Linked DNA regions of Arabidopsis thaliana. Changing the gene in region 1 together with any one later gene gives a genetic interaction. Each region holds a gene or a part of one and is shown on either strand. Other genes may lie near its edges.

Evidence for each region.
Region 2: of AT3G16270 (region 1) and AGD5, changing one enhances a phenotype caused by changing the other (phenotypic enhancement), as found in Arabidopsis thaliana (one study listed by BioGRID).

What each region holds. Positions count from the first base shown.
Region 1 is NC_003074.8:5,511,045-5,527,532, reverse strand, and holds AT3G16270 (ENTH/VHS family protein), read right to left. Parts: upstream 14,261-16,488; 5' UTR 14,162-14,260; exon of another isoform or gene 14,033-14,161; 5' UTR 13,833-14,032; coding exon 13,626-13,832; intron 13,343-13,625; coding exon 12,605-13,342; intron 12,433-12,604; coding exon 12,277-12,432; intron 12,187-12,276; coding exon 11,257-12,186; intron 11,035-11,256; coding exon 10,993-11,034; 3' UTR 10,851-10,992; exon of another isoform or gene 10,601-10,850; intron 10,268-10,600; 3' UTR 9,927-10,267; downstream 1-9,926. Other genes in the region: AT3G16310 (mitotic phosphoprotein N' end (MPPN) family protein), read left to right, coding at 1-4, 383-494, 641-940; AT3G16300 (Uncharacterized protein family (UPF0497)), read left to right, coding at 1,326-1,609, 1,688-2,042; EMB2083 (AAA-type ATPase family protein), read left to right, coding at 2,538-3,867, 3,983-4,155, 4,329-4,430, 4,512-4,676, 4,804-4,944, 5,181-5,339, 5,434-5,519, 5,611-5,689 and 3 more; AT3G16280 (Integrase-type DNA-binding superfamily protein), read right to left, coding at 8,468-9,232; TRZ4 (tRNAse Z4), read right to left, coding at 14,415-14,762, 14,844-15,836, 15,932-15,982, 16,071-16,215, 16,299-16,488. UniProt on the Arabidopsis thaliana protein: Mediates clathrin-dependent trafficking of vacuolar cargo from the trans-Golgi network (TGN). Promotes plant growth.
Region 2 is NC_003076.8:22,049,810-22,066,648, reverse strand, and holds AGD5 (ARF-GAP domain 5), read left to right. Parts: upstream 1-5,378; 5' UTR 5,379-5,582; coding exon 5,583-5,633; intron 5,634-6,450; coding exon 6,451-6,509; intron 6,510-6,596; coding exon 6,597-6,687; intron 6,688-7,086; coding exon 7,087-7,141; intron 7,142-7,227; coding exon 7,228-7,318; intron 7,319-7,435; coding exon 7,436-7,667; intron 7,668-7,933; coding exon 7,934-8,147; intron 8,148-8,281; coding exon 8,282-8,454; intron 8,455-8,679; coding exon 8,680-8,919; intron 8,920-9,028; coding exon 9,029-9,105; intron 9,106-9,218; coding exon 9,219-9,387; 3' UTR 9,388-9,663; downstream 9,664-16,839. Other genes in the region: AT5G54330 (hypothetical protein (DUF295)), read right to left, coding at 586-1,656; AT5G54320 (hypothetical protein (DUF295)), read right to left, coding at 2,735-3,844; AT5G54300 (cotton fiber-like protein (DUF761)), read left to right, coding at 11,307-11,904, 11,997-12,379; CcdA (cytochrome c biogenesis protein family), read right to left, coding at 12,726-12,801, 12,894-12,940, 13,043-13,135, 13,284-13,384, 13,470-13,542, 13,642-13,803, 14,032-14,063, 14,172-14,257 and 4 more. UniProt on the Arabidopsis thaliana protein: GTPase-activating protein (GAP) for ADP ribosylation factor (ARF). Mediates clathrin-dependent trafficking of vacuolar cargo from the trans-Golgi network (TGN). Promotes plant growth.

The DNA.
Region 1 (16,488 bases):
ATGGGTAAGGCCATTTAAGCTTTATTGCTCTCGTTTTTCTCACTTTACTGTTGCAAATGTTCTTGATTTGTCAACATTCTCGTGTCTCTGAAATTCTAGGTACATGGATGATAACAGTTATATTGGTACTGGGTAGTGTTATTAAGTGCCTTAACTTGTGTCTGTCTCCCATGTTTCAATCTTAGAGAACTGTTCATAATAAATGCTGTTCTTTACCATCATGATGCTCAAATATCAGCCTTTGATTGTGATTTTATGTTTTGATCATTGTGAATTCTGACTCTTTACATGGATAATAACTGGTAGTGTTATTAAGTGCCTTATCTTGTGTTTATCTCCCATCTTTTCAATCTTAAGAACTGATCATAATAACTGCCTTCAGATTTTCTCCAGGTGATACAAATTTAGTACTACGGGAGTTTGAAAAATGTGGTATGGTCTTGAAACATGTTCCTGGTCCAAGAAATGCCAACTGGATGCACATCCTCTACCAGGTTACTGTTCTTCCCTTCAAACCTGTTTGATGCATGTTGATAAGCATTCATAGTTCTTCTAGACGAGTCATCATACATGATAGTCTAATCAAATCTTTTATATAAAGGAAACAACGAACTGACAATGGTCTGTGTATTTGATACAGAACCGGTCTGATGCACATAAGGCGCTGAACAAAGCAGGGATGATGATAAACGGAGTTGTAATAGTAGGAGTGAAGCCAGTAGACCCAATACAGAAGCAAGCGTTAAACGAGAGACTCAACAACCAAGGATTCATGCCTTTACCTCCACCATCATCCACTAGAAACACTGCTCGACCCCTGTCTCGTCCTCAGTACTTGCAAAACGGCAGCGCTTTCTCTCCTCAACCAAGTGGTGGCGCTATGGCCTCTCCGTCAAAGTCAATGGTCTCAAAGTTCTTTGACTTGATGTTCGGTGTTTAAAAGCTACTTCAATGGCATTTCCCGAATGATTCTTCTTTACACATAGTTTGAAGTTTTTGAGAGCAGAGTGGCTAAGTAAATCTTAGAGCGTGGTCAAAATTAAAAATTGTAAGAGGTGTTTCAAATTGTCTTTTGTATTGACGACGGCTAAAAATTTGGTATAAATCTGATTATTAAAATCTCCTCTTTTAGCCGTTTCATTGTTGTTTGTATTTGAGCAGACTAGTCATGCCTCGTGAATGATTGAAAGAAAGACACTGATTCCATGGAAGCCTCACGGGCAGTGTTTTAGAAACTCCATTAGGAACTAGCCACGTATCTAGCCTGTTGTGTTTATATATCCCCTCTCGCATGTAAATTACATTACAAAACTCAGTAACTCACAATGGCGAAAGCAGCAGAGCAGAAACAAAACCCGACCGTTGCGAGTGCAGAAGCGAAGCTTGATATCCGCGACGTGGTCAACACAGCCATCACTTACGGCGAAGATAACCGTCACGGCGGCGGGAAACGCAATGACGTGGCCATGTTTGTGCTAAGAGCCATGTGCATGGCCGTATCAACGGTGGCTGTTACGTTAATGGTAACAGCACGCGAGACTAGCATGACCACTCTCTATGGCTTCGAGTTTCAGCTCCACGCCGTTTGGTCTCTCTCAGATTCTCTTATGTAAGCATATTTCATAAATTTGACATCACCAGTGATATGTATTCCACGTTGCTTTTGAAACTGACGGTTCTTTTACAGATATCTAGTTGTGGTTTCATCGGCAACGGTTCTTTACTCGTTGATTCAACTGATTATAAGTGGAACAAGACTAATGAGAAAATCTCCGGTGATTCCGACAAGAACACAAGCATGGTTTTGCTTCGTTGCAGATCAGATAATAGGATACGCAATGGTGAGTGGAGGATCTGCAGCTTTAGGAGTGACGAATATGAACAGAACAGGAATCAGACACATGCCTCTTCCTAATTTCTGCAAATCTCTTGGTTTCTTCTGTGACCATCTCGCTGGCTCCATCGTCTTCGCCTTATTCGCGTTTCTCCTCCTCGCCGCTTCTTCACTTCTCGACGTTCTCCATCTCTCACGCCACCGCTAAAAATTTAATTACTGTTTTACCCTCTTGTACTTCTCGTCGTTAATTAAGTTTTTCATCATTACAATAATCATTTACGTTATGGGGTTGCTTTTTGGAATTTGATTGTTTCAATCGATATTACCGAATTTCAATGTTTTGAATTTTGTTGACCATGTTCCATATACACGACAAAAAAAATATTCAAAATCACCCGCGACAAACACATACATGAGTGACACTGACAGACCGGTTTCCGCGTCTCGATTCGTTTTTAGCGTCTGGGCTTCTTAATGCCTTTTTTAGAGTTAAATGGCCTAAGTTTTTGTTATTGGGCTTTAAGAAGCCTTTTTATATTACGATTGTTCTGTGTTCTGTTTCTTCTATCCCTTTAGCCTGGGAAATGATGAAGCTCATTGCTACGTTTTAATGGCGATCACTCTATCTCGACTAGCTTGGTTTATTGCAATTCACTTCTTCATGTAAGTTAAATTCACTCTACTTCAATTGAATCACATCATGGCTTGTCGTTTCCCTCTGCATTCTTCGTCACCTTCTCAATTCCTTTCACCGGAAAATCGTCAGAGACTACCCAGAAATTACCCTTCAATCTCATGCCAAAACAATTCAGCTACGAACGTTGTCCATGAAGATGGTGATGATAACGACAAAGCCAAGACAAACCAAGTCAATCTTCTCGCAATACCAATCACACTCACTATAATCTCCGCTTCTCTAGCCAAACCGTCGTTCGCGGCTGCGAAGGTAACGGAGAGAAAGAGAACTCAGAAGAAACCTCAGGAGGCTTTGACACTTGAACAGCTTAAAGCTTGGTCCAAAGATTTACCTGTAGTTTCGAATCGTATACCTTATACTGACATTTTGAGCTTAAAAGCTGAAGGTAAGCTTAAGCATGTGATAAAGCCTCCTAATTTAAGTTTGCGGCAAAAGGCAGAGCCTGTGTTAGTAGTTTTGGAGGATTCTAGAGTATTAAGGACTGTGTTGCCTTCTTTAGAGGGTAATAAGAGGTTTTGGGAACAATGGGATGAGTTAGGGATTGATGTACAATGTGTTAATGCTTATACTCCTCCGGTTAAGAGACCTCCTGTGCCGTCTCCTTATTTAGGATTTTTGTGGAAAGTTCCTGCTTATATGTTAACATGGGTTAAGCCAAAGAAGGAGTCTAAACGTGCTGCTGAGTTGAAGAGAATGAGGGAGGATTTCAAGAGGCAGAGGAAGGAGGAGATTGAGACGATGAAAGAGGAAAGAGTGATGATGGAAAAGACAATGAAGGCGCAGAAGAAACAACAGGAGAGGAAGAAAAGGAAGGCTGTTAGGAAGAAGAAATACGAGGAGTCTCTGCGTGAGGCGAGGAAAAATTATCGAGATATGGCGGATATGTGGGCAAGATTGGCTCAGGATCCTAATGTGGCTACTGCTCTTGGATTGGTATTCTTTTATATATTTTACCGTGTGGTGGTTCTCAACTATAGGAAGCAAAAGAAGGATTATGAAGACAGGTTGAAGATTGAGAAGGCGGAAGCAGATGAGAGGAAGAAAATGAGGGAGTTGGAAAGGGAGATGGAGGGAATTGAGGAAGAGGATGAGGAGGTTGAGGAAGGTACAGGTGAGAAAAATCCTTACTTACAGATGGCGATGCAGTTCATGAAGTCAGGTGCACGTGTGAGACGAGCATCAAATAAGAGGTTACCTGAGTATCTTGAGAGAGGTGTGGATGTCAAATTTACAGATGTTGCTGGACTTGGGAAGATTCGTCTTGAACTTGAGGAAATCGTTAAGTTTTTTACTCATGGAGAGATGTACCGCAGGAGAGGGGTCAAGATTCCAGGTTGAATGTTGTGAAAACTTCTGTTTTTCCTTATATCACCTAGTATTTGATGTTAAGTTATATGATCTATGAAATTCTGCTGTTTGATCATTTCTTTAATTTTGTTTTCGTTTAGGTGGTATTCTTTTATGTGGGCCTCCTGGGGTCGGAAAAACTTTACTGGCAAAAGCTGTAGCTGGTGAAGCAGGAGTCAATTTCTTCTCTATCTCTGCTTCTCAGTTTGTGGAAATATATGTTGGTGTTGGTGCATCTCGTGTCCGAGCATTATACCAAGAAGCTAGAGAAAATGTAAGTCTAATAACTTTCTATACCTGTGTTGATCGTAGAACTTAATTCTCACTTTTGGATGCTTCTGAGATCATTCAAGCAGTACCTCTTGGCTTCTTTTCTGTTGATTCTCATTGTTATAGTGAGGATTTAGTCTATTACTGGATGTTAATTTTAAGGTGGTCTCACTGCAGGCTCCATCTGTGGTCTTCATTGATGAATTGGATGCTGTTGGAAGGGAGCGTGGGTTAATAAAGGGTTCTGGAGGACAAGAAAGGGATGCCACTCTTAATCAGGTTCCAGACATTTCAGATTGTGTAATAGTTTTCTTCGTTATATAACGGGATGGTAATTTTATTCATTTTTTTGTGTCCCAGCTACTTGTTTCTTTAGATGGTTTTGAAGGAAGGGGAGAGGTCATCACCATTGCTTCCACAAACAGACCAGACATTCTCGATCCTGCGCTTGTGAGGCCTGGACGGTTCGACCGCAAAATCTTTATCCCTAAACCTGGTCTTATTGGACGGATGGAAATTCTGCAGGTAACGGCGTGGTATCTGTGTTTATGTATTCTTAAACTTGTAAATTTGCAACAAAAAAAAAAGAGGTTAAAAGTAGAGTTTTGTCCTCGGTCCAAATTTATATTTTTGTTTTGGTTTTGCTGTTTAGGTTCATGCTCGTAAGAAGCCGATGGCTGAAGATTTAGACTATATGGCAGTTGCTAGCATGACAGATGGCATGGTTGGAGCAGAGCTTGCTAATATTGTTGAGATCGCGGCAATTAATATGATGCGTGATGGAAGAACAGAGGTGGGATCAATATTTTTAGTTCAAATTAGTTATATCTGCTCTTGTTTTTTGGATGGGTTTGGTTTCAAATGTTAGGATCGTGTAGCATCTGGTAATATGGTGTGTGTGAATTAAATTAAGTGATTGGATGTTGTGCTCGATAGGAAGCTTAGGCTAATATTAAGTTTAGAAGTCTATTTTTGATTCCAGCAAGTAAAAGACTGAGAAATCATCTATATTCTGTAACTCTAATGCAGTTAACAACAGATGATTTGCTTCAAGCTGCACAAATAGAAGAAAGAGGAATGTTAGATAGAAAAGACAGGAGCTTGGAGACATGGCGACAAGTTGCGATCAATGAAGCTGCAATGGCTGTTGTAGCAGTGAACTTTCCTGATATGAAGAATATAGAATTTGTAGGTTTCTTAAATCTCTTTTCCCCTTCATACATTGAATGAAGCTTCAACTTTCTGTTTTACCGCACCGTGACATTTCGATGACCTTGACCAGCTGACAATCAACCCTAGAGCTGGTAGAGAATTGGGTTATGTCCGGGTGAAGATGGATCATATCAAATTTAAGGAAGGCATGCTTAGGTTTGTGGCTTTCATCATACAGATTTACTTTCATGATTACACGGGTTCTTTATGTTAATCTATATGTCCTTTGGTGGTCTACTATATGTAGTCGACAATCCATCTTGGATCACATCACTGTTCAGTTAGCACCCCGTGCTGCAGATGAACTATGGTACGGTGAGGATCAGGTGAGAGATATGATATATCATTTTACTCTTCTCTAATAACTGTGGTCATATTTTTTTTTAGTTTACCAACCTTTGCTAATGATTTGTTACAGTTAAGCACGATATGGGCTGAAACATCGGATAACGCAAGATCAGCTGCTCGATCATTGGTTCTTGGTGGTCTTTCTGATAAGCATCATGGCTTGAATAACTTCTGGGTAGCTGATCGAATTAACGTAAGGCCATATCTTGACATTGTTTTCACTTCAGTTTTCAGAGAACAGATATCATCTTCTGATACATGGATTTGCAGGATATTGATGTGGAGGCATTGCGGATATTGAACATGTGTTACGAGCGTGCTAAAGAGGTAAAGTAGACTTCTAAATCAACTACATCTATATCATAGCATCTCCTTTATATTGGTCTTGTTAAATATATATTTACAAACGCATACACCAGATTCTTGGAAGAAACAGGACGCTCATGGACGAGGTGGTAGAGAAACTGGTTCAAAAGAAAAGTCTAACGAAACAAGAATTCTTCACTCTTGTTGAGCTCTATGGGTCCAGTAAACCAATGCCACCGAGTATCCTTGAACTTAGGAAGATCAAACGGCTTGAGCTAGAAGAGATGGTGCTGAAACTGGACATGACTACCGCAAGAAACAGTTCATAAGATGATTGTAATTTGGAGAAAAGAGACAGTTCGTGACAATCGTAGGGAATAAACATCAAAAACCCATTATAGAGACAATGAGGTTGATCCTTTATCTATATTTCCTCTGTAATCTTTGTAATAGTACATGTTAGATAATTCTTTGAGCTTCAATATAGTATAACACTTCTTTTTATCCATATTGAAGCAATAGTCAATTTTAAATTGTTTCACATATCTTGAAAAAAGGATTATGAATTTTTATGTCATGAACTTATGTGGAGCATGTGGATTATTTTAATTTGCTATATATAAAAATTGGAAGACATTGAACAATGGGCACATGCTAATCCATGATTTTTCTTTTTGTTAGGTATTTAGGTGAAATTGCAAATTGATGAGAATCAAATCAAGAGTGCTTAGGTTGGTCGATATACATACAACTATTTGATTATTATTACAGAGCAGATAACATTTGACTTGCAAGATTTGACAACTAAATGATATTTACGTGTTACCAATTTTTATTTTATTTTTAGTTAACCCGTTTACCAAATCATTTACTTAACCTCCTTATTGGTAATTGGCCACCTTAATGGCTTAATCTCTATTATTGAACCCACCCGACTCATCATCATGTACTGTTTACTAAAAAATCGAAATACCCAACCGATTTTCTAATTTTATTATTTAAAACTCTTACGTACATAATTGTTCTATACAATTCACTTCACTGTTATTAATGATAAAAGTCGTTTATTTGAATTTTATCAAAGCACTACAGAAATTAATATGTTAAAAATAGTTTTCTCATATTTTATAATCTGGATATAGGTTCAATACGATTTCTTTGGGTTCTTGTCTCATATAAAGTGTCCAAAATTATTAATCTTCTTAAACAACGGTAAAAAAAATAAAAATTGAATTCGTCAAAAGAATTTGACAACAAGAAAAGAGGTCCACAACGGCAGTATTTGACTTGCTCGTTCCCACACCACCATCTCTACTCATATTCAGTTAAATACTATATTTAAGCTAAAATTAAACACACTCAAATATTAAAGAAATAAACAAAACCCGTGTTTAAGAAGACTAAAAATCACGTAACAGTTTCAAAATAAAGAGCTATGTGACTATGGAATCTGAACTGTAACTCCACCTTTTATTAAAAATTCAAATGCATTTTTCTTCTTTGAATATTGATCTTTTCGGTTTGTTGGCAAAAGTTTAACTAGTTTGATAAAAACAAACGAATTAGTGGAATTTAATATGAATTATAATAAGGATGAACCCGTGACCAAAACACAAAACAAAAGTACGTGACCGTTAATGTTCTGTACTTATGTTGGTCGAAATAAAGGAATTTCATTTTATCCACAGTGATTTTATGTTGGTTATACTGTAAACGTTTTTCACAGCAGAAGCAATGTTATTTTTTTGCAAACATAAACTATATTCTATTAGTAATGTTGGTGCACAAAAAAAAAAGAAGAAGATATAATTAGTCAAAATATTAAATAAGTAAAAAAGATTGGACGGTGTACCTCATTTGAATTATTTTTAGAGTGTTCTATAATGCATTCTCATATTTGATCATTACAAATTTTGTTCCAACCTAAACTCCTACAGTTACCTAACTATAATATAAATTTCTTGCTTCTGGAATTATCTAATCGACATACCTAGATTAATAATCTTCAATCTTGTAAATTGGAATGTAGTTATAGAATAATGTCAACTTGTCATAGATTCCAACTATTTTCTTCACAATAATTGTAACAATTTAAAATCAATTATAGTCAGCATTGGAGAAGAGGGTTATTGACTGGTGAGAAGAAACAAAGAATGACCATTGACTCTTTTAGGAATTTATACGTTTAAGAAGAGTTAAATAACATTTTTGTTTGTTGTGATTCACAAGTACAAGAACATTGCGTAACGATAGTTTCCAATTTCCAAACTTACAATAATTGTATGTTATATATATTACACATTTACATAAATATTAATAAGTATATTTTACAATATTTGGTACACTAGCCCTAGTATAGTAGCATATGCTACGTATCCGTACAAAAAGAAAAGAAATACAAATGTTATCTATGATGCAATATTGCAATATAATGCACTTTCCTAACTTAATTAGTGATTAAAGCTCCACAATTCCACGAAATTAAACTCCGATATTTCTTCATAAAAATCCATAACCGGAGGATACACCCAACAATCGAACGGCTCAGAATAAGCCAGATCAGCACGTGATGTCACACTCTCGTCATAACTTCCTTCTTCAATGTTAGGCAGCTCCACAATTTTCTCCAACCTCTCCTCATCCTCTGACTCCGCCGCCACGTAAGAAGATTCCGACGAAGGTGGGGCCTCCGGAGCCTCATCCTTCTCTAACAGTTTTTCTTCGACCACCATGGCGGCGGCTTCTGCGGCGGCTGTCTGGATATCATGCGGCGATGATGACGCCGGACGAGGGAAGAGAGAAGCAAGCTCAGGGAAATTTAAGACGGCGGAGGAGCCTTTGATGGTGAGAGCAGCGACGTCGTGAGCACGAGCAGCCATATCAGCGGTGACAAAAGTGCCGAGCCAAATACGAGTTTTCTTACGAGGTTGTCGGATCTCGGAGACCCATTTGCCCCAACTTCTCATCCGCACACCTCTGTAAACAGGATGTTGCATTGAAGAAGATGAAGAAGCAGAAGAAGAATCTCTCCTTCTCTTTCTTGTGTTGTTGTTTCTGGGTGGAGCTTCTTCTTCAGACAAGTGGGTGCTTGTTGTAGTAGTTGCATCAGATTGGTCTGATGACGATGATGTTGGTGATGCAGAGCTGTTGAGTGACGTCATCTTTTGTACTCTCGTTTGATACTTACTTCTTCTTTTTGTGTGGATGTGAGACATGTATTTATAGACTGACTGCTAAAGTGCTAATGAGAGAGCTTTGATTCTGAGGTTTTTTTTTTTAATAAACTTTCTTTTAGTATAAAAACATAACACGTTTTTTTTCTGGTTTTTGGATGTGAGAATCAATAGTAATTATTACAACCGTCAATCGTACCAAATTAGACTCTTAAAACTGTATAGTATTTTTTTTATTTTTTTCCATATACATATGAGTAAATTGTGATTTTGATTTTACAACTGCATACTATTATTATTGTGTTCTTGTTTTTAGATTATTTTGATTGTTCTTTGTTTTGGGTGGAATTAGACTATTTCTTTCTTTTAATTTTTGTCAACAAGCATACTATTTCTTATTTCAAAGGCTAATTAATTTGGTGGAAATGTGTCAAACTATCAAAGAAAATAAATACTTAATTTGACTAATGAAATTAGACGCTCCATTTTAAGTGACATTTAGCCTACCCATCTTTCAATTATCATGAAGATTTTATAAAAATCCAAAAAAAAAAAAAATATATCTACACCTATTATATGTAATATACATTTGACCATATTGATAATTTTTTAAACGAAATAAAACTGAGGATGGATTTGCCAACAAAGAAGCATAAAAGATGCAGAGAATGTAAAAAGAAAAGATTTACAGAAGAGATCGTTTATTAACTTTCTAAAAAATAATCTCAATGTCTCCTTCGTTTCCTATTTGAGAGAGACTTGGAGAGTCTAAAGTTACTTCCATATGTCACTATCAATCTGCCCGTTGAGGTATTTTTATTCATTCTTTATTTTTATATTTACACAGTATGGGAACCTCAAAATCTTATTAATTGGATTTATGTAATGAGGATGTCACTCGTCATTTTCCCGTTACCACTTTTTAAAAAGATAAGAAAAGTAACTTCCACCATTTTTTTCAATCTTTACCGTTGGTAGAAAGTACACAAAAGATGCATTCTTATTAAACTTCAGGTAAGAAAATAAAGGGGCATCATTTCCTTTTTCTCTCATTAATCAAACTCTGAATAGTTTCACCTAAATAGATTGAGAAATTATTAGCTTTCTTTCTTTCTTATCGTATGAAAATATCTACACCAATGCAAACACTTGACCAATGGATGTATCCTAAAATAAGTAACGCCAATTTAAAATGAGCAAACCAGTATAACAGGCAATGCTGAGAATATGGACCAAGTTTAACGTGTGAGAAAAAAAAAGCTCATTGCAGCCACTTAGATTAGATCTACCTTATTTTATTAACTACTCCAAATTGTAACAGACATCACGATTAAACAAAATTATCCCTGGCTTTCGTTTTTCTCCATCAACAAAATTTTCTAATTAAGAAACGCAAAAACAACTGGACTTGACTTGAAGTCTTTAAACTATTCATATGCATTTCCTTTCTCAGTTTCATTTCCTTTCTTGTCTACGTTCGATACACAGACACAAGTCTCTTCAGATATAATATATAGCAACGGAACAAAATAAACACATCTAGTAACAAACAAAAAGCAACTCTACAACTACATGTTCATGCCAAGAACAATGGACTCCAAAGAAGAAGAAAAACCAAAGACAAAACGAGGAAACAGATAAAAGAAGCAAAAACCCTTACCATATGAATTATAAAGCTATCTCCATTTTCTCCTCAAGTCTATACAGCTCTCATAAATTAATGTTTTAGCTTCCTGCACCCTTGTGTCCACATCTCATGAAATAGCATTTAACACTGGAAGGCGGAATTTTGTAAGCAACCATCAAGATACTCTCTTTGTGTCGCGGGCTGATGTAAGATGATCCTGCATCACACAAACATTTATGTAGTTGCTCCATGAGTGTATGTACATCAAACGAAGGTTTTTTAACTATGCCACAAAAGTAGATCTAGTCTGACTATGTTTAGGTGGTTTTAATCGAGCTAGACATTATGTGTGTGAGATTTGATGTCACATGTACAAAGACAAATGGCAGATTGACCAAACTTTAGAATCAAAGATCAGGAGCAAGATGGCAAAACTTACAGAAATGAAATCGAAGGCTCTGGTATCTTCTTTTTTCGAACCATTCATTGTTGAGGTTGGAGCCTGATTACCAAAATTTGGCTGGAATATATCAGGGAGTGCGGACTGATTCCCTCCACTTGTACCCATAGAAAGAACATTTCCGCTACCCTGAGCGTTCAGATTGCCGAACTGCTGGAAGTTGGACATATTACCAAGGTACTGCTGCTGCTGAGCTAACAAGCTTGCCATGGCAGCGTAATTCAAAGGTTGGGATGCAAAAGCTGGATTCATCATCATCCCTTGAGGAAAATTGAATGGCATAACACCTCCAGGAAGCATTGTGTTTTGAATAAACCCAGGATTTTGTGAGCCAAGAATGCCTCCAACAGGATTTTCCGGTGCTTGGTGGCTGGTGGTGCTCGGCATTGCAAATAAATCCTGTGGAAGAGTGCTTGAAGACGAGCCTTTCTGATTTGAATTGTTTTCGTCAATGGAGAAACTTCCCATCAAATCATTAATGTTTTTTGCATCTTTTGGCTCTGCTTCAAGTTTTGCAGTTGACCCAAACATATCAAATAGATCAGGCACATGATTACCACCAACAGCAGCGGACTTTTCCCCGACAGTCATTCCAGAGAAGAGGTCATCTGCACTTTCTTTTTCTTCATTCGGATGAAATGAGACATCTGCAAAGGGGTCGTCATCAGTTTTCTTCTCGCTGCTACTCAGTCCAATGTCAGAGCTATCCCCAAACCAATCATCATCCATCAATGGACCTGCTGTCGCCACTGTACTGCCAGTATCTATAGCATTCAGATTGTTCAAAGTATCGTCTGAATCACCGGTGTCAATCAAGTCAGGTAAATCAACAGCAGCCTCTCGCTTCACAGTATTATCAGAGCTGCTCATCAACCCACTTGACTGTCCACCATTTAGAAGGCTCAGAACCTACACAACATCGGTATCTCGAGTTAACCAACAAATTAGCATAATGCCAAAAAAGAGTTTTGTGAATGGTTATAACAAGCAGAAGCTTACCTTGTTCGCCTTTTCTCGAAGGGAAGATTGTGGAGACTCTGCGCACCGCTGTATGGCATCCAAGTTTTCACTAAAATAGGTATGTACAATTGAAAAATTCTCATCTTCCTTCTTCCTCAAAATGGCCTCAAGGACACATAAAGCTTTCATCCGAACCTGCCAAACAGAAAAACACAGTTACTTTCAAAGTACAAAAGTGGGAAGATTAACGCTACAGAAGAAACAAGCCAGGGAAAAGAAAATACAGATGATATAATCAAGAAAAAAGTACATTAGTAGCATCAAACAGTTTCACAAGGAGGTGACTAGGAAATAATCATAAACATACCTGCCACATTGGAGAATGGAGCTTCCCGTCAAGAGCAATGCTTAAAGCAACAGCGTCCATTTTTGCAGCCTCTAAAATGAAAACATGAAGAGCATCACGAGTTGGCTGCAGGCGTACACCACCAGATGTAACAATGGTTTCCAGCAGCTTTTCCTCACGAGTTTTGCTCTCAACACGAACTGAAGCAGAACTTTCACTTGCTTCTCCGGAAGCGTGGCCCCAAGATCCACCAGTCGTGTTCTTAGACGTTCCGTAGTTACCATCCTTCCCCAGCTTAACTGGATCATATCTACTGAAGTTCTCATTTTCCATAGTTAATGATCTGTGGAGATTTGGACCTCTGTAGCTGCTGCTGCCATTCTCATTCTTCTTTGGCAAATGGCCTTGAGCAAAATTACTGATTCCTTGCTTTATAGATGCACTTCCAATACCCACCACCTCACTAAGGAACGATTTATTATCATTAGAGGGCACCTGAAAGTTAGTATTCCCGAATCCTTCAATGCGTCTGTTGATGCTTTCAGGAGCAGCTGGTTTAGTACCATTCTCTTCTGAGAATATAGCAGAAATTGTTTCATGAGCAGTTTCCCGTACAGCCTTATTAAGTGCATCTCCTTTTAAAGGATCTGGATGCCCCTTGTAATGGAATAGATTGCGCACTGCAACCGAATTCCTTTGCATTTCTCGTCTAAACTCTGAGCCAGACTTTCCCACAGCATACTTTATCAACCTAAGAGCCTGTATATACATATAATAACCAAAATCAGTATAACCAGTTCCTACAGAGCTTTTAGCCACAATAAGATCCATTCTACGTCTCCCTATAAACAAACTCTACGCTATAATCAAACACATAAAGCTTTCTCTTTGATCCATTCTAAGAAAAAACAAACATCTACCTACAATCTAAATCAATCCCGACATGCAAACATTTCAATCAAAATCTTCATGGAAAACAAATGTCTCACAAAGGAACAACATTTCACAATCAAAAACAGAAAACAAACGTAATTGAAAATACCTTCTGCTTAACAATGGGGCTTTTGTTATCAAGACGTTTCAAAATGAATTCAGAAAACTCCTTGACGATGCTGACATGAGAAGAACGAAGGAGGTCACAGATCTCTTCCAATTTGTACACAGGCGCAACTTTGTCCTCATCAGACGTAACCGCATCTATCATCCGCGACCTCCAATACGATTCCACAGCTCTCCTGCTCGTATCCATGGCGAATTCGAAACAAAACAACCCTAATTCCCAAAATCACAACTTTTTCGTCCTCACCAGTCAAAAAAGCTTCAAAGACAACAACTTTATGAAAGACCGATCCTCAAAACAATTAGATCAGTCAAAAAACCGATCCTTTAAGCTCCAATTCCAGCTCAAATTCACCAAACTAAAGATCACGATCGGGATCCAAATTTCCCCTATAAACCAATCAACGCGGAGGTAAAATTAGACCCTTGAGACAACACAATCATGCGTCAAGCGGAATCGAATCAATAACCTCGGAGAAATCAGCAGAGAACGGAGAAATTGAGAAGAAAAAAACTCACCGATTCGTATGTGACAGAGAAAGAAGGAAGCGGTCAATAAAGAGGAATGGTTGTGTGTTCTTCGGTGTCTTTCCTTATTTCCCAAAGTTCCGATTTTTTTTAATTTCTTTTTCACAATTCACATTATGCACATGAAACTGATTTATTTCCTCTGTCACACTCACAGGAAAAATCAATTAAATTGATATTATTTCTAAAGACAATACAACACAGTCAAAAACAGGGGACAAAACAGAACATTCTAATCTATATACTAATTGATGAAAAAGCTTGGGACTTTGTCACGTATTAAGCTATCATCATCAGTCTCTTCTTCTTCTTCTTCTTCTTCAACCACTTGGTTTCTGAATAGAGTTTTGAAGTAAGGTAAAATCTTTGGAAGCACATGTAAATCCGCCATGTTTATACTCATCATATCAAAGGCAATGCATGTATTGTGCATATGTGATTCGTCAATCACCGGGATCTTTGGGTATCTCTGGCTAAAATGTGTCAGTACGGTTCGGTATACACCTGCTGAAGATCCAACTTTGATTGCTTCTTTAGTTGTGCTATGGTTTTTAGCCACAGCTTCTTCTACCAACGCATCCTCAAACGTCGCCTGTTATAAGTTTGAAAAGATGGTAAATTTTAAGAATGAGATGTAAATGTTTTACACAGTTTTGCTTATATAGAAAAGCACCTCATGTATAAGAACTGTTGCTCCTTTTGAAGCTTCAACCATCTCAGGACAAGGCCTTGTGTCTCCCGAGTAAACCATTTTCCACCCCGGAATCTCATCTCCGGCAATGTTTTTTCTTTCTGCTGCTTTTAACGAAACCCCAAAGGCTTGAGGGCAATGCACAACAGGAAAGCTAATCAAATGCTCCAACCCCATTTCGCCGAGGACTTTTTTCAGTTTCTTCAAGAATGGTAAAGCTGAAGAATTGTCTGTCAGTGGGCTGCTCGGTCTTTTATATATACTCTGCATTAGACTTCCTTTACTGAACAAAGAACCCTCTGCATTGCCGCTACTGGTATTTTTCTCAGGGCGGCTGGTTTCTACAGAAGCCCAAGATGTTGTTGTGGTGTTCCTGCAGTCGAGAAACTCCATATCTAAATCCTCAAGTCTTTGATATGCATCGAGAAAGTTCTTAAGCGATCTCGGTCCAACCACAATTGCTGGCTCATGAGCCAATCCTTTCAAAAGCTCACGTCTGCGAGCAAGGATTCTTGCAAGACCCGTATGGTGATCAGCATGGATGTGAGAGATCCATATACATCTCAAGTTTCTGACTGCTTCATCAGCTCCTTCTAAACCATATCTTCGTTTAAGCTGGCCTAAGGTACCTTCCCCACAATCCAAGAGAATACTGCCTCTAGAGAATAGGTCGATGTAAATTGCCGTGACATTTCGGTATTTTGAGGGTTGGGAGGAACCAGTGCCCAAAAGAACTATCTCCATGTCGTCTCTTCTAATGTTTTCAAGACAGCTTGGAACAGTGCTTTCACCCAGCCATGGCTCTTCGATCATCATCTTGTTGTGTTGTCCATTCCATAACTGCTTGATTTCTTCGGTCTTACTGCTGATTTCAGGAATTTCTGAAAGAAGCTCATCCATCACTCGTAAAGCTGTTAATCGACTAGGGATACTAGATCTGTCTACCCCAAGATTACCATGTGGACGCAAAGTGAACTGCCCACAATATATCAATGAGAGAAAGCGAGAGACTTAAGAGCTAAAGAAAGGAAGTTTCATATGGAATGATGCACTGAAGCAACATTCAATACCTTGAGGAGATTTTCAGCAGAAATGCTTTCACCAAGATTCGAATCGAAGCACTGACAAGAGAAGAAAAGAACACAACTTGACTAAATGAACACAGCCAGATTCAACTCAAAAAGAAAATATCAGAAAAGCGTTTGTAACCTTGCTCAAAGAAGTGGGGTTTATCGAGTTATTATCATGTTGATGAGACCAAAATCCAGGAGCTGGGAAGAACTGTGGACATAAATAGTTAAGTCTGGCTGTGATTCTAGAACTGGCTCTCAGGATTGGAAACTCCATATTCTTCCTGGACAAACACCAAAACTACATATCAGACAAATAAATTCAACAGTTCTTTTATGAGAAAGAACCATAGTTGAGAAGACTCACGCTTCATGTCCAGCGAGAATGTGCTGGGCAGAATGGAATCTCTTCATCCAGCTTCGGTATGTAGAACTATTTGTTACAGAAGCTGGACTTAGATGAATAATACAATTAACAAGCTTAGCTCCATCTGTTGAATTGTCAAGACATGAATAATAAGTCTTCATAGACGGGATAGATAGCAGTTCCTCGGCAT
Region 2 (16,839 bases), on another chromosome or scaffold:
CTCTAAAGTGCTATTTCACGTACGTGTCAAAATACACCAATTTAAGTTATAGTTCAATCAAAATTTAAATATCTTATATTTGCACGAGTGTTTGAATATATAAATTTTAAAAAAATATGGTTATTTCTCTAACCATGTTGATTTTACTCATTTTGTCTTCCAAAATAATAGTTTTGTGTGATACATGTACCAGTTGGCTTTGTATAATCTGAAATTTATCTACTCATTTAAAAATGACTGAAGCAGTCAGAGAGTCTCCCAAGCTAAGGGTTGAGTCACTCAAAATACAAAGTTAAAACACTCAAAAATAACAAAAACAATTGGTGGAGGATTCAAACCAAAAATATAACATTGTGAAATAATACAGTTCATATCCCCTGATCTCAAGTAACTTACTCGAAAGCAACAAAACGATTTTGAAAGGCACACACATATGAATGATTGCTGCTTAAACACAAGTGCATGAAAGAGTACTGATGAGATATGCATATCAATCTCACAAATAATTTATTATTAAAAAAAAACATATTAATCTGATCTTTGAATAATTGAAACAGGAAAGAATATTCCAAACTATGTAAAGTGCTAGTTGTTCATATTTGGAGGTGGAATATGGAAAGGAGCCTTAAATGTAGAATTACCACCAATGAAGCGTAAATTATCCAGAAAGAAAAATCCTGCTTCGTCGAAATCATAGATTATAACCTGGTTAGAGGGGAGACCTGGAAAGGAACTAGCAGGGACACAAAATGGTTCAGATTTTGAGAGGTACATGCAGAGATCTCCAATGTCTTGGGTGTAAACCGCGTTTCCTTGTTCGTCAAGCTTGAACACCATCAAAGCTTCGGTTCCCATTTTCGCAACACCATTGACGATCTCAGCGGTTCTCTTGTACCACTTAACCAAGAACATTTCACCACCAGTGGATCGTGATTCCACCAAGTGCTCGCTTGTACAGCAAGAATCCAGAAGCTTCCGTGTGGTCTTTGCAAGATTGGGAAACTTTTTAAATCGCAGCTTCTGAATCTTGGGTGTGTGCATGTGTGTACCGAGATCCCATGATCCAATGAGATGGCCTCCAGATCCGGGAATGCGAAACATGTCATCTTTCTCCGAATACATGACACTGGAGGAGTAGAAACAGGGGTTTGCGATTCTGACGTTGATCCACTCGGGTTTACGTTGAGCTGGTCTGCAAAAGCTGAGCTGAGGTCCTAAGAACTTGACAGCCACGACACAGTCCTCATCCTCGGGAGAAGATGAAGACATTGACACATTGGTGACGATTTGAGTTTGGCAATGGGGCAGAGTTACAAGAGGAGGCAAGGGAATGCGTTTAGGGTTCGTATCCGATGCAGCCGGGTTAAAATCATCTTGGAGACGCAATATACCGTCGTCCTTCAAAGTAGCTACCCAACCATGGGATGACCCGATCGTTACCATGGGATCACTGTGCACCAACTCTAGAGGCACCTTCTTTTCCAAGCAAGTGCGTCGAGACATCATCATAACATCGAGTCTCCCGAGATGATCAGCTCCACAAGGTTGAACGCCGACGATTGAACAAGGAGGGGTTTGCATCAGAGAGGATCTTACCAGTACAGGTTTCCTCCGAAAGCATAGTAGCTTCAAAGGTTGGTTTAGAAGCAGAGACATGCGTAAGAGATGTTGTTACCGAAATGCAAAGGCTGCAAGAGATTTAGATTAGATTAAGAAAGTATTATACAAACCCTAGTTGAAGAATAAATAAGTTTATGCGGTCAGTAGAACCGAAATTTTCTCGATTTGCTTTGGTTCTGTTTAAAGTTGTGATTTGACATGATTTGATTCAACACTATCTCTATAAATAAAGATCCAACGCAATCTTAATTAGATTTCATTTTAATTACGATCAAACCCTTCAGTAATTGTTCTTTTCCCCCATGATTTCATTTCCAAAAAAATGTTGCAATATTAAAGTAGCTAACTAAAACTCACAACAAATAATGAGTGTTGCGATATTAACGACCAAAGCAACGACTTTGAGGAATCCAACACTCTTTCAAATGACTCGTTAATAATAAAAATAAAAAACATTATAGAAAATCTCCAAACTTAGAGAGAAACTAAAACACAAACCAATTTGATATTTTTTTCCCGAGTGATTCGTTCTTAATTTCTCTTTGATGATCTCTGATTTTGTAGTGAATCACCTCCATGGGTAGTGAATCACGTCCATGTGTTATTATGTGTATCAATTAACTGCTGTGTGAGGGTATTATGGGTCTGATTACCTTTAAAATTCTCTTTCCGATTGATTTGGGCCGGTAGGTAAATTTTTCTCTTCGTTTATCAAAAGGAAGAAAAAAGTATTTAAATTTTTGTTTTTCTCAGTTTTTCTTTTTTTGTTATGCTCTGGATTATTTTTTACAATGCATGTGCCATTGTTATGTGAGGGACATGATGAAACAGAGACATCAAAATAATGGGGATTTTCTGATATTTCCTGAAAGAATGATGCTTGTGAAGGATGTTGAGTGGTTACTAGATATGCTATAGAGAGACACACAAAGGTAGTAGAAAAGAACCTGTTGAAAACCAAAAGCAGACTCATGATGTAACTAAGCAAATAGAGATTTAGGATGGAACTAAACAAAGGGTTCCGTTCCAAGATAAAACTAGTGACCATTACCAATGATGACCATGGTAATAATATAGGAGAAGAAAAGAAAAGACTCAGTTCCAAACTACGGTACTAATCTAGTTTTTGGGGTGGCATAAGGTAATTGCTTTTGAATGATGTAGGCATCACATCAGTAATGATGGTGGAATCATCCAGATCGAAAAAGCCGCCTTCGTCACAGTCAAAGAGTATGACATTGTTAGGGCACAGTCCGGGAAAAGAGCTAGCAAGGACACAAAAAGGTTCAGACTTTGAAAGAAAAATGCAGAGATCTCCAATATCTTGAGTGTAAACCGCGTTTCCTTGTTCGTCAAGCTTGAACACCATTAAAGCTTGTGTTTTCATTTGCGCAATACCCTTGATGATCTTGCTTGAAGACTTCTTGTACCACTTAACCAAGAAAGTTTCACCAGCTGGTGACTCAACCAAGTGCTCGCTCTTGCAACATGAATCCAGTAGCTTCTGTTTGGTCTTTGTCAGCTTGGGAAGGTTTTGAAACTGCAAGCTCTGCAAATTATGCTTGTGTGTGCGGAGATCCCATGTTCCAATGAGGTGTCCTCCAGATCCGGGAATGCAAAACATGTTATCTTTCTTGGAGTACATGACACGAGATAAGTAGAAACAAGGGTTTTCGATTCTGATGTTGATCCACTCGGAGTTACTTTGAGCCGGTCTGCAAAAGCTGAGCTGAGGTCCCAAAAACTTGACAGCCACAACACAGTCTTCATCCTCAGGAGAAGATGCGGACAATGACACATTGGTAACGATTTGAGTTTGGCAATGAGGGAGAGTTACAAGAGGAGGCAGGGGAATGCGTTTCGGGTTAGTATCCGATGCAACCGGGTTTAGATCGTCTTGGAGACGCAGTAGTCCGTCGTCCTGACTCAAAGTAGCTATCCAGCCATGGGATGAACCGATGGTTACAAGTTCATTATCATACAACAACGCCATAGGCACCTTCTTATCCAAAGAAGTGCATTCATCTTCATAAGGATTCAAAATCACGAGTTTTCCCTCTTTCGCAAGTCTTCCACAACGTTTAGCGCTGACGACGAAACAAGGAGGAGTTTGCAGCAAAGAAGATGATAAGCCATCATTAGAGAGAAGAGGAGATGATCTCACCAACACAGGTTTCCTCCGAAAGCATAGTAGCTTCAAGGGTTGGTTGAGAAGCAGCGCCATTGATAAGAAGTGTTTTAGGGGAAAGCGAGGCTGCAAGAGAATCAAATAAGAAAGAGTAAACAAAACAAAACCCTAGTTGTTGAGATGTTCACATAAATAACCACCAAGATCCGATACAATCTTAATTGGATATCATTTTAATTAACCACGTTCAAACCTTATTATATGAAGTTTGTTTCTTCGAATATATTTTCCATATACTTGATTTAATTATAAATACTTATTTACATAACAATACATACTCCAGAATCAATATCCTCAAATTTTAGAAAAACAATGTGAGATGTACATGATTGAGATAAAGCTTGAAGCTAAGTCTGATTAAGAAGAAATTAAAGTTTGCAAAATGTGGGGAAGTCTCTATACGTGTCAGAGGGTTTGAGATCTGAGAATACTTGAAGAGAGGCTATGGAGAGTAATTCGAGAAGCAAAAATAAGCAGTCGTCTATTTACTATATGAGAAAAATCTTCCTTCTAGATGTGCAAATATCCTCCTGAAAAGTTGGTCCTCGCACTGATAACAAAGAGAGATGGCTATGATGATCATATATTTCCAAGCTCATCCCATCATAATCGCGACGTCACATCCCCTAAAAAGCATATTAATTGCCAAAGTTGGTAGCATAACTCTCTTCTAATGGCGACTTAAAATGGAAATATACTAAGTGGATCTATATATTTTCAAAATTGGAAAGTATATATATGTGGATGAAGTTAGAGAAGTTAGAAATTTCAAAAGGCTTTGGGATTATATTTGTGATAACTCCCGATGATATTCCACATACAGATAAGTAAAGGTGCTACTTAGACCAAACCGATTATGAGGTTTAGAGCCAGCGAGAGACCACTTCTCATTAGACTACAAAACTTTTTTAGGTTTATTCACACACAATGTATTATAGTTCCTAATGTATACCTATTAAATTAGAGTTTGTCGAATGTTAGGATTATAGTTCGTATTGACAAACAAATATCAGTTTGAAAAATTAGGAATCTAAGAGATAATAATATAATTATTTTTTTGGGTTTAAATTGAAATTTGTGTTGGTTGGAACATTCGTTGACTCATCGTCACATCAAATAAAAATCTTAGCAAATAAAATATGTCCCATAAACATCACATAAATAAACAAAGAAATTGGAATCAATACAACAACCACTCCAAAGTGGATACAGACATAACAGGTGATGAGATGGCCATGTGATTTATTTTCCACCCGCAACACTCTAATGCTTATATATGACCAATCAAAAAAACCACTTAAACCGCCAAATAAACCGACCTTATTTTTGATAAATCAAAACCCACTTAGTCACAAATTAACCAATTTTATATGATTACACTTTCACAAATATTCATGTGTAGATTTCTTTGAAAATTTTCAGGTGCTGCAATCACGAGTGACCGAATTATTTTTGAAAATTTAAACCGAAATGAAATTAAACCGAACCATATTCAATTTTGAAAATGAAATCTAAAACCGGATTAATAAACCAGTACCATAATCTGAACGGTCCAAAAAGTATTGACCCATCTCTCTCTCTTGGTCGCTCGTTCTCAAAGGGCAAAGAAAAAAGGATTTTTAATTTTCGGAGAGGAAGAAGAAGAGAGAGATATTGAAGAGCGCTGAAGGCGGAAAAGACTATTTTGACCTCGTCGTCTCCGTAGATCATTTTTCTTCAGCTCTTCTTCTTCCTCTTTCTCCGATTCTCCTTCTTTTGATTTTATCTATCCGCCATGAACGAGAAAGCCAACGTCTCTAAGGAGCTTAATGCCCGCCATAGAAAGGTCTCTCTCTAATCTCGAATCTCAGATTCTCTTATTTTATTTTCTCCGAGCTTTGTGGATTTGTCGTCATATATTTGAATTTGGTTGCCAACAATATATGATCGATCTTAATTCGATTGGATCTGTGCATTAGCAGCTATCCTTCCTTCATTTTCTTCGGTTTCCTCTAGTTAGGAGAGGATTTGTATCGTCGATCCTTATCTTCTTCGATCGATTGAGCTAGAATTATTATTCATCAGCAATGAAAATCAGTTTCTCTATTTCGATTTGTTGTCTAGGACAATAGTTGATCACGATCGGGTTTTTGAATTGTTTTATATTCAACGTCGGCTTATTGAATGTTACAGTTTCATGGAGCTTGAATTCTAGTGTTTTCCTATAGAAATTCGTATTCAATTGTTTGATTTTGGAAAGAATCGAACACAGGGATCCAAGGAGCTTAGCGTCCCATAGGGATTTTCATTTGTGCTTGGTAGTCTTTGAGTTATTTGCCATGTTGAAACTATTAGTTGTAGTTGGGATAGCTTTGTGGGATTGGTGATGCATACATGTATAGGATATTAGGAATGATGTTGTATGTCGAGTCTTCGAGAACTTTGGTGTTCATTCATTGACGAAACTTATCTCATACTGCAATGAGAACTTTGATTCATTTTGGTTAGTTAAACATGTCAATTCTGATAATTTTGAAGTTTTCTTGAGATACTCTATATTTTGTATGTGTAGATTCTTCTTTATGTTTTGCGACGTATGATTTTTTCGTTTATGTAGTCTATTGCTTGAATATTCATTTGATTTTGGTGCTACTTATCTGCAGATTCTTGAAGGGCTTCTTAAACATCCAGAGAACAGAGAATGTGCTGACTGCAAAACAAAGTATAGTTTTCTACCTGATGTGAATTTTCAGCATTATTATGCTGGTTCATGTATGTATTTGCTAATACTGTTCCATTTGCTTTGCAGAGGTCCAAGATGGGCTAGTGTTAATTTAGGTATCTTTATCTGCATGCAATGTTCTGGGATTCACAGGAGTCTCGGGGTACACATATCGAAGGTAGTCTCTCACTTTCCTTTCTACATTTGTTTTCTTGATGCTGCATTTTTTTACGAAAGCTCAGATATTAATTCGATGAATAACTCATTCCATTTGGCTCAAATTCTCTGCACAAATTTTCAATTTGGTTTTTGTATTAGCAATTTCATTTTGTATTTTCCATCACAAGAGCTGGAAAGTTTGACATGAATGCATTAAATCTCCCCACCTTCTTGTACTCCCATTGTCGTCGATACAGTTTACACACGAACTTCAAGCAACTCTGTGCAAAAGTACATGATTTGATTTCGCCCTCTGATTTTTGTATGAGCCGTGTCCTTTTGTCAAGTAGATGTTAACCTTAGCAGCATAAGCTACTTTATTTTCTACCAAAACACCTGACTGGGCTAATGAGTGCAGGTTCGATCTGCCACTCTGGACACATGGCTCCCCGAGCAGGTTGCATTTATACAGTGTAAGTGTCTTTTAAACTAAATGCTCTATGGCTGATTCATGGGTTGTTACGCAATGTAAAGTATATAATCTTTTATTTGCATGCAGCAATGGGAAATGATAAAGCAAATAGTTACTGGGAAGCAGAGCTACCCCCAAACTATGATAGAGTTGGAATTGAGAATTTTATACGTGCAAAGTATGTATCTCTCTTTTTCATTATACAAACTTTTCAGTTAGTTCCACCTCATTGAATTGTCTATCTTGCTATTCATATGGACGTTGAAATCATTCTTATGACATATGACTTTTCTAGGTATGAAGAGAAGAGATGGGTTTCTAGAGGGGAAAAGGCTAGATCACCTCCTAGAGTCGAGCAGGAACGGCGGAAATCTGTGGAGAGAAGTGGGCCGGGATATGAGCATGGACATAGTAGTAGTCCTGTAAATTTGTTTGAGGAGAGGAAAACTATTCCAGCATCTAGAACAAGAAATAATGTTGCTGCAACGAGAATAAATCTTCCCGTGCCTCCCCAAGGACCCAGTCAGGTACCAAACATACTTCTCAGAAGATCTGTATAACTAAAGAGCCATACCTTTAGTTACTCATCAGTATTAAGGATCCGTATTCCTTGATCTTATTTAATAATCTTAGGATATCAGCTATGAGATCATTATTTTTGTCAATGCATATGCTGTAGCTGTCAGATCATTATTTTACTCACTGTGTTTTTAGAGCCTCATAATCTGTCAACGTGTCTTTCTTACAGTATCCAAACCCTGGTTTTTCTGATACATGATGCTAAAAATGACAGGTTATAAAGCCACAGCAGAAAATGGAGTCTGCAGCTACTCCAGTAGAGAGGGAGAAACAAGCAGTAAATGTTGCACCAGCATCAGATCCTCCAAAGGTGGATTTTGCTACTGATCTGTTTAACATGCTATCAATGGATGATTCGACTACAAATACCTCAGAGGCAACTCCTGGCGATACTCCTGCCGATGATAACTCATGGGCTGGCTTTCAGTGTATGTATCTATCTAGCATGTGATAATCTAACATCGTGGCACATTTTTCCTATCCTTGTTAACTTTATGTCAATTGTTCTTCTTTTGAAAATGCTTTGGAGTAATAGATTAATTTCTGAATCCTAAAACTGTAGCTGCTGGAAGTGGTCAAACGGCAGAGAAAATTGTCACAGCCAAGCCTGCTGAGAGCAGTTCTCCTCCAGCTTCATCTTCTGACTTTGAGGATTTGTTTAAGGACACACCTAATTTAACAACTCAACAAGCACCAAAAGATGTGAAAGGCGATATCATGAGCCTGTTTGAGAAGGTAAATTATTAGTTAATTATATACGCTTCTCAGATTTCACTGCTTTGTTGATATTCAGCTTTCCAAGTTTCGTTTTTGTATCATTATTTAACTTACATTTACAAATATAGCGAATGATATGATTTGTGTTTTGTTATCACTTACTATGATTTCTTCAACACGGGACATTTGGAACACCAGAGCAGATTCAAGTGATATAACTCTGTGTGTTCTATTTGATTACAGACGAATATAGTATCGCCTTTTGCCATGCATCAGCAACAGGTTGCTATGCTCGCTCAGCAGCAAGCCCTTTACATGGCTGCAGCGAAAGCTGCTGGAGGCACTCCAAACGGCGTGAATCAACAAGCTATTGCTAATGCTCTTAACGTAGCTTCTGCAAATTGGTCAAACCCCGGCGGCTACCAGATCCCCGGAATGACTAACCCCGTAGGTGGTCAAGCTGATCTCCAGAAACTTATGCAAGTAAGATCTCCCCTTTACTTTTTTTAAGCAAGATCAATATTACCATTGACCAAAGTTCTTGCAAAATTCTCACTAATTCTTGCTCTCTGTTACATCGCCATAATTTTAGAACATGAATATGAACGCAAACATGAACACGAGACCCGCACAACCGCAAGAGAACACTCTACAATACCCATCATCCAGGTATGCACACAAAACTGCATCTTGTTTGTTTCTTCTGAAAACATCATAACGTTATCAAAAGTGCTTAACCTAACTAACTCTCATATGATCTTTGGTTGTTATTAATAATGCAGTTTCTACACAATGGGTCAAGCTAATCAAGTGAACGGTATGACCCCAAACTCAACCGGTAAACCTCAGTCATCATCCGCAACCCAACCAACAAGCACCACACCATCTTCACAATCAGGCAAAGACTTTGATTTCTCTTCCTTGATGGATGGAATGTTCACAAAACATTGATCAAGAGAGAGAGACTTTTTCTGAATTTGCCTTTACATCTTTGTTCTAAATTTGAAGAACCAAAAGAATATATATACAATCATCTCTGGACAGTTTTTCTCTGTTAAACATATATTTTCTTTTCTTTGGAACTGTGTTGTAGCCGAGCTTTGATTTATGATTTTACTCGATTGTCGAAAAATTAATAGATGTAATTCTTGCTAAGAAAGGAAAAAAAAAAAAGATTTATCGGTGAGACCGCCACAAAACGTGGATTGTTCTCTTCCACTTACTGCTTTTATTTGCTTTGGTACGAAGTTTGTGACATACCAATTTTTTGGAACTAAGCAAAACAAAGAAACGGTTCCGAAAAGCCTTTGAAAGAAAACAAATTAATCGACCTTTATTGGTAAGATCAATAAAGGCGACGTGTTGATATTGAACTTGTTTCTTGTTATGGGCGGCTGTTTTAGCGTTATAAAGTTTTGAGTTTGGCATTGTCGGGCTTTCGGTCAAATGGCTTAAAGCTCATCCTCCTTCTTCACCACAAGCTTGTGTACCTCCCACTAGCCAACCTTTGTTTACCTTTTTCGTTACAAGATGTTTTATTAGCTACAAAATGCAAAACTGTAATCAATGATGACAACGTAAATCTGTAAATACCATTTCTACAAATCCTCGCTTGATCACAAAGCACAACAAATGAAGTTGTGCACTACATTGTATTTAATTATATTATTTTCTTGCATTTTTTTTGGTTTTCTCTTACACGTACATCGTCCTTGATCTAATGCAAACATAAACTAAAACACCACGTTGGACTTTAGCATTACTCATTTGGTTATTATAACAAAAATACCATGTCGGACTTGTACCGACCTTAGGGCAGAAGTTTAAAGTTTAAGTTCTATTATACTATGTAGAGGATATAGCCAATATTTATGATGCATAAGAAGATCAATCAGTATCAAGTACAAAAATCCAAAATGGTCGGTAGAATTTTGTTGTGCTTGTTGACCCGTAATGCGATATATATCTTTCGTGAGTTTGAATTGTCAAATCAAATCTACTATTAATATAAGCACTAATATGAAAACAAAATTGAACGTTTAGCATTGAGAATGATATATACGTATGCATCTATCTCAATTATTTTATGTTACAATCTGCATGTCCTTATCTAAAACAGTATTCACATGCATCATAATTCGCATTCTCACTATGACTTTCAACTATTAATTTTACAATGTCAATGAAAAATGGCCTACATTACCTAAAAATCCTAGCTCAACAGTAACTACTTTGTTTTTTTTTGCTAGCAACCATAACTTTTTTACAATTATATAATTTTACAATAACAAAACCAAAAAAGAATATTTCCATTTACAAATATCTTCTAGATCGGCTAAACTCAAATTAACACTAACATACATAAAATGAACTAATGAAGACTCGAAATTTCTCCCCAAAAAAATAAATAAAATGAAGACACAATCGACTAAATTTTTTGTTGCCAAGTGAAAAAACAAAAATCAACGGTACGACTTGGTACGTAGGTGGCAGATTCTCGAATCTCAAATTCTCTAATCACACACAATGCATAAAATATTGTACTTCTATTGTCAAAATCTTGTTGCAAATGTTAGGCAAGCTTATATTATAAGTTTATAACTTAAAACGTCAAAACCCAAAACTGACACGTGTCACTCAGATAAGCCTCCATAACCATACCCTCAATAAATAAGGCCCACTTATGATTCTGTAAAAAGCCCACACAAACACGGACCACATTTTTAAGAATTTATAAATTTCACCGTATCTATATAAATCCACACATCTCAAAGCTTCTTTAGTTTATTTTCGTAGATAAGAACCACCGAACTAACAAAATTTGAAATTCCCAAAGCAAAAACAAATTACATCATTCAATTCAATTCTCAATGCCTCTTCTTCTCCCTACCTCTTCCTTCAAAACGACGGCCACCGTCGTAATCGCCGGCGTTTCATCTATTGCCACGGCGATGATTCTCACGGTCCCTTCCGTTTCCCATTTCGTAGTCTCTTGCTTTCCGATTATTTACGATAACACCGTCTTCCTCTTAAAACCACCGTATCTTTACTTAGTCATCAACTCTATCATCGTCTGCATCATCGCTACTTCTAAACTCACTCATAAATCGTCCTCCGTCGATGACTCTGAGATCTCGGAAGTAGTGACTCCAATACCGATACCGGTACCGGTTCATTTACCTTCTGATATCGATTCCGGTTATTTAAACGTGGTTCATGTGGTTTCTGATTATACCGGATTTGTTGAGAAAATCGATGACGTGTCGATTAATCCAACGGTGGAGGCTATCCGGAAGTTTCCAGAAGTTCAGGAGGCGGAGAAGTCGAAAGAGAGTAGCGATTCGCCGGAACCGGAGACGGAGAAGCCAAAATTGAAGAATGATTCGCCGGAGATTTCGATTCTGAAGCACAGTACGAGAAAACCGCCGCGATTTAATCAGCAAAAATCTCTTAAATCTAATTCAGAAGGTAAAATAATTTAGTTTTTTTTGCTCGAAATTCGAATTTTCTGAGAAGGGCAAAATCGTAAAATGACGGAGGAGTTGTCACTGTTTATACAGGTGGAAATAAAAAGACGGCGTTGGGAGTGACGAAGCCACCGAGGAGACAAGACACGCTGGAGACGACGTGGAAGAAGATAACGGAAGGACGTTCAACGCCGTTAACTAAGCACTTGACTAAATCCGACACGTGGCAAGAAAGAGCTCACGTGCAAAGCTCACCAGAAAATAAGGAGAAGATGACCAAGTCCGAGAATTTAAAGGACATAAATACCCCCACGGAGGAGAAGACGGTGTTGAAACGCGAGCCGTCGCCGGGACAGGAGGAGTTGAATCGGCGCGTTGAAGCGTTTATAAAGAAGTTTAACGAAGAGATGAGATTGCAAAGATTAGAATCTTTGGCTAAATACAATGAAATGGTAAATGGAGGGACTCGTTTGTAAATTTTCGTGGTTTTTGCTTAGGCGTCGGTGAAGGAGAAAAATGACGGCACAGTCGCAAAAGTTGACTTGACTCTTTTTTACAACCACTTAAAAGAGTTTTTTTTTCCTTCTTCCGGGGAACAAAATTTCAAAATAATGCAAAAATTGTGTTTATGATTGTTATGTTTCTTTTGGGGTCGAGACGTTAATCGTGTGGTTACAAGTGAAGGATTATATGTTAACAGTAGTGAGTAGTGACTAGTGTTCGAATCTGTTTTCTTTTGTAATTTTACATTATAAACAATATTATTTATTTACTATTACAAACACTTTGTTTTTGGCCGAAATGAGTTTGTAAGTTAAGTTTTTACATGACCATAGTAGCAGCAGGAAAAAGCCTATCCAAGAAAGTATATAAACCTCCTCCAAGTAGAAGAGCACCACTGAACCAAAACATAGGAAAAAATGGAACCGAGATTTAGTAAATCAACAATATGAAAAAGCAATAGCCTATAATCATTTATCTTTAACATACCTTATGGGATTGATCCATGCAGAGACCTTTCGCAACGAAAGTAAGCTCTGAAGAAATTTTAAGACGAGTAAATACGCAGTTAGTTTCATTACTGTAAGAAACTTAACTAAGAAATTTGCATTTCGCTATTTGGTTTTAAAAGAAACTACCTGTAAAGCTCCGGCAAAAGAAGCAGCGACGATAAGTGGAGCGACGTAACCTGTTGTATAGGTTAAGAGTAAGCTTCCACCAATTACTGGATCCTGTTTTTCACATTTTATCCATATCAGCTTTTTGCTAAACTTAAACCGTTTCTTAAAAGCTTGAAAACAAAGCCGGAAAGTTAACTAGCTTTCATGTTCATATTTGAGATAATGACATTTCAAATGGAAGGAGACGAAATGGAGTTACCCTGGAAGTAGCCACGTAACCAAGAAGAGTGGCTAGAACTGGAGTACTACAAGGTGAGGCAGCAAGTGCGAATGTGAGACCGGCTAGATATGCTTGTACACCTGACAGAACATTTTGTTACCAAGTATAAGAAACAAGATTTAATGACCAAAAAACCATGAAAGTTTTGTGTGCTAGGAGGTTTACTAGATGGGAAGTTTGCTGCTGCAGCACGAGGATCAAAGTTGTTAAAGAAAGAAGGAAGCTGAAGTTCGATTATCTGTAGGAAATACGTCATGTTAGACATGGCCATTATCTAATGCATTTTTCCATTCTGATTGATGCAATATGAAAAAAGAGTGATTGTAGCAAAAATTACCTCAAGGAGATTGAGACCCATTACAATAGCCAGACCGGATGCAGCTACTGGTAATCCTTGTCCTATTTGTCCATAGGCTTTTCCGGCAAAAGAAGCTACTATCCCAAGAAGGGCTAAGGTAGTTGCTAATCCCAGTGCGAAAGCAACTGTATCTCCAATAACCTAAATGCATGAAGAACTGAAAGGTCACTAAAAACTACTATACTTGTGAATGAAAACATGATGCATTTGATTGGACTGGGTCTATTGTTCCTTTAACGGAGCTTTGATTTGTTTACAGGAACTCAACTTTAACTTCTTTTAAATTTTGTCAATCTGCAACGACAATGATCCAACCAACTCCTAAGGCGACAGCTATTATCTAAAAATCTGTTCTGAAGAGCCACTAACCTGACCTCTGCTTTTGCCAGACCCAAATGCACCTATATGTTACAGCCATATGAAGGACAGGTGAGGAAAGAATTAGAACATCAAACTAAGATTCTAAATAACTTGTGAGAAATGTAAAATCTTGAGATAAGTTATCATACCAATATAACCAAGTGTCAACGGCAAAACACTAAGTGTACATGGAGACAGACTTGTCACAAGGCCTGCCCCAAATATTACTGCCAAACTACAACAGGGATAAATTAGCAGGATAACCTGATGGTCAAGGTCTCAGAAACGCGTTCATTGAGAGAGAACCCGAGAAACATACCTTGTTACACTGAGTGCTGATAGTTGATCTTGAACAGCTTCGTTAGCCTGTTGGTTAGCTGAATACAAGAAGTTCCCGACCGAATCTCCAAGGCTTCCTTCAGCCAAGATGTAAATGGAAGTGGCTTGATCCTGTCTTAAGGGGAAATTAGTTTCTGATTTTACAAGCAATCGGACGTATCTCAAGGCAGAAAAGCATAGGCACAAATTCGTTCCAAACAAAAATATTGAGATATAATCCCTAACCAAGGTCTAAGGAGAAAAGGAAAAAAAAACACTTATTGACATAATCTCAATAAACTATTCAGGTTAAGATGTGGAACATAATTGAACTAGTCTACAGTAACAGAAACAAAAGAAGAAAGCACACAAGTATATAAACAATAATATCAAAATCTATGATTAAACCTTACCAAGACAATCATCTTCAAGTCTGCGGCTTTTGCTGAGCTAAGAGTTACCAAGTTCGCCACTGGGAAAACCAAGATAAAGTTCAAGTGTTCATGATCAGATGTTTGGAAACATAATTAACGATAATTGGCTAGCTTCTTAAAACACATATCCTCATAAACTAAGCATTTACCTCAAGACTAAAAGATTTGATACATGCCACAGAACAATAACAGAATGAAGGAGGTGAGAAGAGAGTAGTGACAACATTACCTCCTAAACCACTAGCAAGCATCGCAAGTTTAATGCTTTTGCTCTCTAACCTCTCTAAAGAAACAGCATCAGACACTAAACTTCTCTCCCTCTCAAGCTCACAGTGCTTGCCAGCACGAACCCACCTTTTCTCTGTAGTCCATGGAGAGAAATCAAACTCATCAATAATGACCCAATGGCTCAAAATAATCTATTCCCAAACGTCAGTGTTCTAATCAGCTTCCTAAATCTAACCATTTCAAAATGAACGTTACAAAGAAGATAACTAAACATGTGGTAGCTAAAACGACAACGCGACCCAGTTTCAATTTCATATCATGATCATCACCCGAATTCAAAACACAGTAATTCCAAGCGCTATGCGAACGATACATCATCATCTTCAATCAAAATTCCCAAAGAGATTAAAAGTTTCATCTTGCTCAATTACTCTCTTTAAAACTAGAAATTGAATCAGAAGAACAAATCATCACTACCATGATTGAGTCTGCAGCTAGAGAATCCACCGACGAAACCACCGGTGATGCATCGGTTCACACTCAGATTCATGACTCTCCTTCCAGATAAGCGTCCGTCGTCTTAACGGTCCTCTCGCTTCACAGTCTTTTCTAATTTTCCATTATTATTTAATGATATATACTAATGGGCTGATTTTTTAAAGCCTATAAAGGCCCATTAACTTATATTAATGATTGGAGTGTACAAAGTCACTATGGATCCAATCTGATAACCAACAAATTGTGTATATACAAAGATTTAGAATAGTAGGGCTAATCGATCAGCAACAATCTTTAGCATAATTGTGGTTGTTTACATGGTACTAAGCTTATGTTTACAAGCCCATTAAACTACCAAAAATAAGAAGAAATTAGAAAATGCGTTGATATTTTTTTGGGGGGTTAAATTTGACTACTGATTGTAATTAATATCACATCGCACAATGAGTAATGTTGAGTGGGCTAATGAGTAGTGTGAAATTTTAAAAGCATAAACTCAGTTGTCATCTTATATTTAGCTTGATTTTACCAAACTTTTCAACAAACCCAATTTTGTAAAAGATACTTTGGCCCACTTTTAGGTTTTATACTTTCTAGCCAACATTCACTCACACGTATTAAAATCAAAAGTTGTGGTCGACACCGGTTCGTGGGGACAATTTTAAGATATGCATATGGATTTAAAGAAAGTATCTTATCCAACATTTAAATTATTTAAATGGAACGGTATAGACTACAATTACATGTTTCTTCCTTATTCAGACGTTGCTTCAATTCATAAAGTTCAATAATCGTGATTTATTTGATATAAAGATCCAACGAATTTCTTTTTATTGAGCTAGCAACGTAACTATCGCTAAAATCTTGAACTCGCATGCGATAATAGCTTTACCAAAATTTTAATGAGCATATGATGATGCGTATATATAACTTAATCCATAATTCCAGTTAGAATATGATTTTATTTTGGAACCATTCACTCTTTGAAATGATTGGTCTGCTTGGGAATATTACTGATAACTTTAACTGTGTGATAAAACTAAAATTTCAAACATTTTTCGTCGTTTTCTCTGTTAATTAGCGTAGTAGATCAATCTTTAAGACGTTGATTCAAGTCCTGTTGATGTGTCCTCTATGCACATATATCACATATGCGGTTACAACAAGTCCAGAACAATTCAAAGTTTAAACCCAAACTGATAAATTTGATAATTAGGCGAACTGGCGAATTACGTTTTCTCTCGTACTTCGAATACAAGCGCCACTACAACCACAAAACAAGAAAAAAGACAGAAGCATGTTTTTTTAAGAGAAAAGGTAAAAGAAGAAGAATGTCAGA